Saccharomyces cerevisiae S288C: one gene and its partner. The protein of the gene in region 2 binds, or shares a complex with, the protein of the main gene of each other region. Each region holds a gene or a part of one and is shown on either strand. Other genes may lie near its edges.

What was found. Proteins that work in one complex are often made in the same cells at the same time.
Region 1: MEI4 (region 2) and REC114 share a complex: the UniProt entries of both Saccharomyces cerevisiae proteins name them as parts of the MER2-MEI4-REC114 complex.

The regions. Positions count from the first base shown.
Region 1 is NC_001145.3:533,176-538,109, reverse strand, and holds REC114 (Rec114p), read right to left. Parts: upstream 1,904-4,934; coding exon 662-1,903; intron 546-661; coding exon 501-545; downstream 1-500. Other genes in the region: ERG29 (Erg29p), read right to left, coding at 1-272; JLP2 (Jlp2p), read left to right, coding at 2,540-3,166; ribosome biosynthesis protein RRB1, read left to right, coding at 3,412-4,934. UniProt on the Saccharomyces cerevisiae protein: Required for the production of double-strand breaks (DSBs) in meiotic recombination initiation; not required for mitosis. Plays a role in activation of the DSB nuclease SPO11 at recombination hotspots.
Region 2 is NC_001137.3:236,606-242,595, forward strand, and holds MEI4 (Mei4p), read right to left. Parts: upstream 3,170-5,990; coding exon 3,107-3,169; intron 3,019-3,106; coding exon 1,855-3,018; downstream 1-1,854. Other genes in the region: SAH1 (adenosylhomocysteinase), read right to left, coding at 1-514; ERG28 (Erg28p), read right to left, coding at 965-1,411; ACA1 (Aca1p), read right to left, coding at 3,427-4,896. UniProt on the Saccharomyces cerevisiae protein: Required for meiotic induction of recombination, viable spore production and chromosome synapsis. Component of the MER2-MEI4-REC114 complex which seems to be required for meiotic double-strand break (DSB) formation.

The sequences.
Region 1 (4,934 bases), on a different chromosome or scaffold from region 2:
CCGTGATATTCATCACTCACCAACATCCGATGAAGCTTCAGACTTTCATCGATTCTTCCACGCTCTAGTTCTTCTGATGTGTTCTTTTGTAGAAGACTCATTTCGATCGTTATATACAGTTCGTTAAAAAATGCAAGCGTACCAACCACTATCAAAAAGAGAGTTATCCTACCACTTATTCGATCATGGATAAATTGATGAACATATGGCAACTCCTGTAGTTTATTTATTAATTTTAATTCGAGATTTAGATACCTATCCTTTAACGACATACCGGCCTTTGGTTCTTTTTCTATACCACACTTTGCTATAAACACTTCCAAGTATATTGCAGATTTGCGATGTGATTCAATTTTTATAATGCTTTATATTTTGTTTTTTTTTCATAAAGGCTTACTTAAACGAGCTTGCTCTTCTTGCTTAGCGATATTGCCGAAACTCGGGTTTACTTTTCCATTTTACTTCGTGGCTAGTGTAAAAAGGAATTGCAAAAAAAGGGTTCACTTTTCGAACATTTTATTGAGAACCGTTTCAACCTTATTAACCTTTTCATTCATATTTGTAGTGGCAAAAGTTGTTAGTTAGTATTTCTTTGTCAAGTCAGAGAAAATGAGTGGATAAGAGGGGGAAACAGCTCAGTTTCTTGCAAATGCATACATACCCATTTCATGAATTCTTCGTCTTTCAACTTTTCCTTGATTAGCCGCTTAGATATTTTTCTTGACGCATTCCGATTAACGTTTTTAACTCTTATCGTTAATCCTTCGCTTGGCGATGCTTCTTTCCTCGTTTCATTAAGTGTGCCGTTAGGTAGCACTTCTTTATTTCTATCAGGGGTATGTGTATTTCCAGATTTTTGGGGGTTTGTTAGTTTATCATCAATATTTTTCTTATTACTGGTATTTTTCTTCGCCGTGTTGTCTTTCCCGGGGCTCCATATAATCGTTGGTGTTGCATCTAAACCAGTGACGCTTTGCATCTGACTTTCCCTTTCCTTTGGTATATGAATAGTTTCTAATAAACCAGTTTTACACAGAGCAATCTCCTTTCTTGAAGTAAAATCAGAAGTGGTGTCGACTTTTTTCTTTTTGTTTTCTGCATTAGGAAGGCAGTTGGTAGTGTTTGGTGGAGATTGAGAAACCTCCAATGGCTGTACAATTAGCGACTCAGGACGACCCAAAACAGTTTGCGTAGCCATTGGAGTGTTGAGGTCTTGTGAAGATTGTACTACATTTAAATCCGTGTTTGGCCATATTTGTTGAGCTATTTGAATGCTGTCGTGTGGTAAAGTTATATTTGAACGATTATTTGACTCTCTTTCAGATTCTTCCTGATAACGTTGACTGAAATCCATAATCATGTTTTGAGTTTGAAATTGCGTGTTCGGATTTGTGTAGCTACTAACTTTTGGACCTTCTGTGAAACAGACCTTTGTACCGTTATTATTGCCTTGCACCTGGCTTGTTATTGTACTCTGGGCTATTGATGTCCTAGCTGTCCTTAAAACAAAATTAAGGTTCTTTAAAGAAACTACAGTCCTGTTGAACTCAACGTCATTTGGCAAATTCATCTGAAACCTCCTTAACATTCTGGGTCCGAATTCTTCGGAGATATATTTACAAGAGATTATGGGGCTTTTACATGAAAATTGTATTAAATCTTGATTATCCCCCAGCGGCAGGCGAATATTTTCGAGAAGTGTTGAATTATTGAGAACCACATTGATCAGAATTTGTCTAGAGTCCATTAGAAGAACCCGAAATTGGAGAGTGCAGTTAGCGGAAAGGTGTTGCCACTTGTCTATCTGAGGAGGCTCAAGCATTGATTGAAAACCATTTGGAGCGAAGGAGGGAATTGTATACTTGGAGTATTTCTTTATTACAACTGAGCAGTACTCGTACATTTTTCTCTTTTTTTTTATTTTAGTTCTCTCTTTCAAACTTAACTTGACGATATGTTAAAACCTTCTCCTTTGCTTTTTATAAGTTAGCCGCCCACCTTGTAACGAAATTCTCTATTAGTAAAAAAAAGTTGATATTCTTTCAGGAACCCACCAAAATGGGCTTCGTATTTAAGTATGTATTAATAATTTATGTTATTATTATTTAAAATACTGAATACTTTAACAGTCATTTAAGTGTTTATGAATATGCAGACGGTAAACTGAATTTTATTTTATTCCTACAAAATCACATCGTAGAACATATAAGTAGTCATTACATCTATAAAAAAATTAACAGTGGTTTGAAAACATTCGTTGTGCTCGATCAATCATTTGAAAAGAGACTTCTTATTTTTTCTGAATGCTAGATGCTATTTACTTTCATCTTTTATACTCTTAATTTATATTTAGTTTAGGATATAGATTATCCTAGGCTTTAATATTTTAATGGAAAAAAACTACAATAAGATTGAAACAAAGAACTTGGATAAAAAAACAAAACAACTCTGTAGACCAGAGGACTGCCTTATACTTAAAATTTAGAAAGTAAGCGAATAGAATTATAAGGCTCAATTGAAATTCAACTTTTCAATAACAATGGTGTATTTCTATGAATCAAAACCAACTGAGTATTCAACACCTTACCAAATTGTGATGGGCAAAGATAAGTTTGAAAACGATCTACTTATCAAATGGAGCTATAGGGAGTTAAACTATGTTTGGTTTCACGCGGATAAGTACTCAAGTGGTCATGTTTATTTAAAGTTACGCCCAAATGAAAAAACAATCGATGACATACCGCAAGAAGTGATATGTGACTGTCTGCAGCTATGTAAATCAGAATCCATTCAAGGAAACAAAATGCCACAATGCACCATCTTGATAACACCATGGCATAACTTGAGAAAAAACAGGTATATGAATCCCGGTGAAGTATCATTTAAGTCTCTAAGACAATGTAGAAAAATGGAATGCGGAGCACGAGATAACAAAATACTAAACAGACTGGCCAAGACAAGGGTAGAACTATTTAATAATGTGGAAGCTACACTTAACGAAGCAAAGAAGACCAAAAATGGTGATTTTTTTGTAAACTATATTGAGTCGAATAGATCAAATCTTATTGAAGAAGAAAAGCTAAGGAAAGTAGCGAAAAAAAACCAAAAGAAGAAGAACAAACAGTCTAAAGATGAGGTTACTGACGATATGCAACTGGAAGTATGATATCATCTACATAACGTAGACGCTTCAAAATAGAGTACCATTTGTACTTACATCGTGATCACGTTTCTTTTTTCGTTCGAGCCGTGAAAATTTTTTTCCTTTCAGCGAAAAATACAGAAAATAAAATCCAACTGAATTTAGCGATGAGATGATCATTTCTTATAGGGATTGTAGTTGTTTGAATTTGTAGGTAAATAGTTATATCACCTACTCTCCGTTTTCATATACACGGAAATAGCACCATAATGTCGAAAAGGTCTATCGAGGTCAACGAGGAACAAGATAGAGTGGTCTCTGCTAAAACAGAATCTCACTCTGTTCCTGCTATTCCCGCCTCTGAAGAGCAAGATGCTCCCAAGAATGACCTAGAAGAACAATTGAGTGATGAATTTGATAGTGATGGTGAAATTATTGAAATTGATGGCGATGATGAGATTAATGACGAAGATGACCTTAGGAAAAAGCAAGAAGAAGCTGAAACTTTAGTACAAAAGGACCAATCCGAAGGCAACAAAGAAAAGATCCAGGAGCTTTACTTACCCCATATGTCTCGTCCATTAGGGCCAGATGAAGTCCTTGAGGCTGATCCCACTGTTTATGAAATGCTACATAATGTCAATATGCCATGGCCATGCTTGACATTAGATGTCATTCCAGATACACTAGGTTCTGAACGTAGAAACTATCCACAGTCTATTTTGTTGACCACGGCTACTCAATCTTCCAGGAAAAAGGAGAATGAACTAATGGTTCTAGCACTTTCTAATTTAGCGAAAACACTTTTGAAAGACGATAATGAAGGTGAAGATGATGAAGAGGATGATGAAGATGATGTGGATCCAGTCATTGAGAATGAAAATATACCATTGAGAGATACAACCAATAGATTAAAGGTTTCTCCTTTTGCCATTTCTAATCAAGAGGTGTTAACCGCTACAATGAGCGAAAATGGTGATGTTTATATATACAATCTAGCTCCACAAAGCAAAGCTTTTTCCACACCAGGTTATCAGATTCCGAAGTCTGCTAAGCGTCCTATTCACACTGTAAAAAATCATGGGAATGTTGAAGGCTACGGGTTGGATTGGTCACCATTGATCAAGACTGGTGCGTTACTATCAGGTGATTGCTCAGGACAAATATATTTTACCCAAAGGCACACATCGAGATGGGTGACTGATAAACAACCATTTACTGTTTCAAACAATAAATCCATAGAAGATATCCAGTGGTCTCGCACTGAATCCACCGTTTTTGCAACCGCAGGATGTGATGGATATATAAGGATTTGGGACACAAGATCAAAAAAACATAAACCTGCTATCTCTGTTAAAGCTTCTAATACTGACGTAAATGTCATAAGTTGGAGTGATAAAATTGGTTACTTGCTAGCAAGCGGTGACGATAACGGTACATGGGGAGTATGGGATTTAAGACAGTTTACGCCAAGTAATGCTGACGCCGTCCAACCGGTTGCTCAATATGACTTCCATAAGGGAGCCATTACTTCCATTGCATTCAACCCATTAGATGAGTCTATCGTTGCGGTAGGCTCAGAAGATAATACTGTGACTTTGTGGGATTTGTCTGTAGAAGCTGACGATGAGGAAATTAAACAACAGGCCGCCGAAACAAAAGAGCTACAAGAAATTCCACCACAATTATTGTTTGTTCACTGGCAAAAGGAAGTTAAAGATGTCAAATGGCATAAGCAAATCCCAGGTTGTTTAGTAAGTACCGGTACTGACGGTTTGAACGTCTGGAAAAC
Region 2 (5,990 bases):
TGACCATTCTGTATAAGTGGTGAACACCGGTGGTAGTTTCTTCGGAAAGACCAAAGCAGTCTTCCAGCATTTCAGGGTGCTTTTCATGAACTAAAGTGGTTAAATCACCACCATCATCTAAGATCAAGTTCAATTTCTTGTTGTCCTTGAAGGCAAACAATTGTTGTTCAATACACCACAAATACTCTTCTTCAGTTTCACCCTTCCAGGCAAAAACTGGAACACCGGAAGCGGCAATAGCAGCGGCGGCATGATCTTGAGTCGAATAGATGTTACAAGAGGACCAGGTAACTTCGGCACCCAAAGCAACTAAAGTTTCAATTAAAACAGCAGTTTGAATGGTCATGTGCAAACAACCAGCAATACGGGCGCCTTTCAAAGGTTGGACGTCACCGTAAGCCTTTCTGATGGCCATCAAACCTGGCATTTCATGTTCAGCCAATTCGATTTCCTTTCTACCGAAGGCAGCCAAAGAGATATCAGCGATTTTGTAGTTTTGAGCTGGAGCAGACATTGGGAATTGTTCTTTTTGTCAGTTGGGTTATTTCGAGGAGAAGAGGATTTTCAGAAAGAAAGAAAAACAAATAGGAATGGAATCATGGAGTTAATAAACCACGTTACTAAATAAGAGATTGGAAAATCTAAAATACGGCTTCGAGGTCGTTTAATTTTCTTTTTCCTCTGAAAATTTTCTTTCTTTTTCGGCCTTAGCCTGTGAAAATTTCGGCCGAAAAAAAAGCCAACGAGATCACGTGCACAGAAATATCTGCGTTAGAGGAGAGAGGTAGGGATACTTACAGAAATGAAGCCAAATTGGCAGCTTTTTGAGAAATAATCATGAATGATAAACAATTGCTGTTAAATAATGTACGGAAGGTTTGGATAAAGGTTGCTATAGGCATTATATAAATAAATCATCTCTATATAATTTTTTTTACAGGATATGCTTGCCCTTACATCAGAATTACCAAGCAACACCAGTGTAGTATTCTCTTTGTTTGTACATCCAAACCAAAGAGGTGGTTGAGACAACCAATGGACCCATGAATCCCTTTCCCAACTTACAAGTTCTAAAGATCAATAATTCAGAGCCGAAGTGGAATAGGGCAACCATATAAGACATGAAGACCAATTCGAAAATGTGTGGTTCATTCAAGTACATAGCCCCATAGAATCTGATAACACAGGAAATAAAGGTCCAAGTACCGAAAGTTCTTGCACTCAAATGGGTTGTTTCAGTGGGTTTTCTTTCGTAGACTTTACGTGTCAATTCTAAACCAGAAACGTAAGTCTGGATAGAATTGAAGACTGATACAATGGAAATGAAAAGTAACCATTTTGGTAAGTAACCTTTTGGCATTGCTGCCAAGGTGGTCTTGGTTGTAGTTATTACGTCTTGTAGGCTGAACATTATCTGATACTTTAGTGTATTTGAATCCTTCGATACTATGGTCTAGCTAGTGTCAAGAATATAAAAACCTGAAATTAGTCAATGCGTTTACGTCAAAAATAGTAGCAATAGTAAAGCAAAACAACAGGCTTGTTCAGCTTAGTTTTATATACGGGGGTAGAGAATACAATGGATCGTACCTTTTTTTTTGTTTCCTGTTCGTTCCGTCCCCGAACGAAAAAATCATAAAATAGAAGTTTCCTATCGGTAATACCGTAAAGTTTAATTCAGTTCGTATAAGATTAGGTTAATCATGGGCAAGTCCGGAAGAAGCGTTTTAATGTAGGTCTGTTGGGGAAGATGTTGTGTTCACTGTAATTTTCAACTGAAGTTGTTGTCCCCGAAATGAAAGAGCTTTCGATATTTTTGTGTTTTATAATGCGCCTCCTACTGCAAAAGAAAAATTAAATGTTTTCTGTCTCATTGAACCATCTTGACAATCGAAAGCGCGCTATCAAATTTCTTTCGGCAGTAATTAATAAGGCCGCCTGTATATATTTCCTTTTCTTCTGAAGCGATATTTCATGAGCCGGAAATTTTTCCAGGAAAGGTTTTAAGTGCTGCCATTCAATGCTTTCAAATGTCTCGAGCAATGATAGAATAACTATCTTGAGTATTTTCAATAGACCCCCTAACTCTTTTTCTGGGACACCGCTTATTACACTGTAAAAGTTCTTTAAGTAGGTTTTCTTCAAACTCAATTCTCTTTCGAGGTATACTCGACAGTACGCCTTTTTCCGGTTGATGCATATTAGTTTATGCTTCGATACAAATCTAATAAGTACATGTATCAGACTTTCGATGATGATAAGTATGTGTTCAATTAATTTCAGAACAGATACGTATTTTAATATCTGCGGTTCAAATGTTTGGTTTGTCTTGATTTTGATGAGTTGAATGTTAATAATAGAGTAAATAAGGGTAAAATGCAACGAACACAAGCGCTTGTAGTCAACTTTATCACATAAATGTTTGCCATCTCCCTGGTCGTAAAAGTTTTGAAGCCATTTTGGATCGTTTTGGTTCTTCTTCAATAAAATTCTATTAAACAGAAACTTGGCGATGAAATTGAAAACATGAACGTCTATCAGTGTCCTCTTAAAAGAAGAATCAGAATCTATGCGATGCGAATAATGAGAAACTAACAAGATTTGGAGTGTTTGAAACACTTGCGATAACCCTCTAAAGTCAATTTCTTTTGTTTTTAAGCTCAGGATTTTTAGCAGAATTTTATATCTCGGTAAAAACCAGTTGTTTATATCAGCAGTTGATACATCTTTGCTAAATGATTGCAGCTCCTTTAAACCAACTGCATCTTCGAAGCTTTTGTACTTATTCTGGCAAAGGAAATTGTATATAGGTTCCAGATGAGCAAACAGTGATTTATTATTCAAAAATCCATTTTCGAAAGGCGCAACCCATTTGTATATATGTTTTGAGTTTTCCCGAGGATTTATTTTTAAATTTTTTTCACTCTTGAGAGCACCTACATCTTCGACATCTCCTTTCTTTCTTGAAAGTGCCCTCTTCCACAACGTAGGATTCCTGGATTGAATTAAAGCAAAACACTGTCATAGATAATATTCGAGGAGATTACACCTCTTACTAAAAGTTAGTAAAGAGAAAATAGGTTAAGGATGTGACAATTTCACGTACGATTATCCAGTCAACTTCCGATGTTTCCTTTTGTTCCATATCTTCCAGTTTGCCTCTACTCATGTCCTTACTCTTCTAAAAGATTATTTAATGAAACTGTTTCACAACTACAAGATGTTTGTTATGTTTTCTTTTACAAGTCGGAAACATTTAGCCGCCCAGCAATATATATGACTCCGAAAGAAAATGAAAGGAAATACATACATAGTAAAATAAATCGTTTAAACATAAATAATCGTACAGAGGAAAACATTAAGGAAGGAGAGTCAAACTAATGTACTGGGAATTTGGATCTCCCATAAGAAGTATGCGCAATACTTTTATTCATCATATAGACTGGAGCTGCGTATCATTTCTTCAATCATTTTCAGAAACCCGTTAACATCACTATCCTTGTTTTGAAGGCTTTGATAACTATTATTACCACCATTAATTGTGCATTCTTGCATGTGCAACCTCGAAATTTTCTTCATTTTTTGAACCAATTTTTCGTAATTTTCAATTTTTTTCTTCATCATTGTGTTTTCTTTGCTTATTTGGTCAAATTCCCTTTGAAGTTGTAATTGTGACATTTTCTTTCTCTGTCGACACTTGGAAGCGGCAATTCTGTTTCGTTCTAGTAGCCTTGCACGCTTCCAAGCTTTAGCACCGTCTTTCAAGCCTGCAGTATTGTTCTCTATTTTTTGGGGTCTAGCTTCCTGCTTTATTTGGAAGGTTGCTGTAGTGTGCATAGAGGAGAAGGGCGCGGTATGTACGTCTTTCTCACTATTAATATTGTTTTTCAGTGCAGAAGTGGCATCCTTGTATTGTGGTTTTGAGTTGGCATGTGTTAAATTGACATCAGGGCATTTCGATTCGTATGGAAGGCTGCTTGAAATATTCAACTCGGCATTTTGGCAGGAATTATTAACAGTGTGGTGATTAACGCCATGGGAAATTGAAGAATGGACGGATTGATTTTCGATATTATGATCATTAATGTTTTGGCAGGAAGAAGAAGAGGAAACGGAAGAATTAGAGGCTGGAGTACATGGATGCACATTCAATTGAGCGTTTTTCCATGCCTTAGTTTGCATTTGAGCTTGTAATCGGAGTTGCATGTTGATGTAAGCCTGATTCATTGTGGAATCGCCAGATGGGATAGAAGGCGTGGCAGAAGGAATGTCACAAGTGGCTGCTACTGCGGGTATGTTAAGCTTTATATTGCTATCATACGGGGTCATTGCAGCGTAGATATTCTTGCTACCTGTTTGAGGTGCAGCTTCGGGTATGACTGTAGCTTGTTCGTGTGGTTGTGGCACGTTTTGCAATTCGTTCGAGCTAAAGCTTGGGTATATGGCTGCGCTTGGATTTGCCACCTGTTGAGGATTGGGATTCTGTTGCGCCTTAGACGATAGGATCGGAGGCTGACAGTTGTAAAGATTTTCAACCGTTTCTAAGTCTTCGCCTAATTGACTAATCTGACCATTGGAGATAGATATGCGTCTTTTGTACACGGGCTGATCAAACGCTGGTAAAGAACTTTGAAAAATGGGAGGGTTGGTAATGGGAAGATGGCTGATGTCGACGCCAAAGGGTTGAAACATTGGACCCAGGTTTTCTTGCACGCTACGGTCATGCAAACTGTTTTGGTGATGAAAATTGTAGGCAGAATCCACAAGACCAGGACCCGATGGTTGTTTGTATATAAGCTCCTTGTTTGAAGATAGAAAATCTGTATATAAGAGTGGGTTCTGCCTTCCATCTAGGAAAGAATCTGGACTTGTAGCAAAATTATGCTTATAGTCCATACTTTATTTGGTTCCTTAGTCGTTACCTGGTGTTATTCCAGTACTATTAATATAACTCAGTACAATTAGCTGCCGTGAAAAAAAAAAAATAATAAGAATACAGTTTCTGCGCTTTTAGTCGGTAAGCACTCAGATTGAGAGATCTAGATTTACTATATTTTAATAATAACCAGTTAAAGCAGATTTTGAAGATGAACTAACATAAAAAAAATTGATGAATTATGTAACATAATCTTCTGTACCACCAGGGTAAATCGCCAAAGAATATCTGCATCTAAGAACAAAAGAAAATGGTGCCCTAAATATCTTTCAGATGAAAAACTAATTATATATCACTACTAAAAAAAGCCAGAAAAAGAAAAAAAGTAAAATAGAAAATAGAAAATAGAAAATAGAAAAATAGAAATTAAAATTAAGAGCATTTTAAAATTAAGTCTACAAAGTAATACTTGGCATATTGCTTAACTCCTCACGCAGAGCCTTAGCGTACCACTATTTTATCTGATACCACAAAAAGCTGCGCTTTGATGGCCCAACGGGGATATAATCGCGCCACTGCTACTCATGTGCTGCAAACTAACAGTGCCAGCAGAAGCGAGCATTGAAAAACTAAACTTTGCCTTGTTCTGCTTACTTCATGCAGAGGTACAGCTTCGATGTCCTAAGGTTGAACATCATCTTGCTTCGATTTCGGTAGTAATCATTTTGCCTGCACGCCATTGTATGAATCTCGTGCCACTCCCTTTTTAACTCCGAGATACAACTTTCCGTGGGGAAAAGTACCGTAGTATTGTAATTTCGAGAGCATCTTTACGGTAATTGCCCCTCCACACCCAGACGTTACACAACCCTTAGTAAACAGCTGCGGAAAAAAAGTGTGCCTACGCACTGTACGACTCCTGATTGATTCCTTCATTAGCACTGACTGGCTTACGGTGCACATAAGTTATTAAGAGCAGTTTAATTCAGTTGCTGAATAGTCACGTTGATGAGCACGAATACCTGAAACACCAACGGTAATGAATCAATTGGCCTAGCGCATCGTTGTGTGCTTGGGTGTGCCGCACAATGGCAACCAAATACTGCTCGTTCCT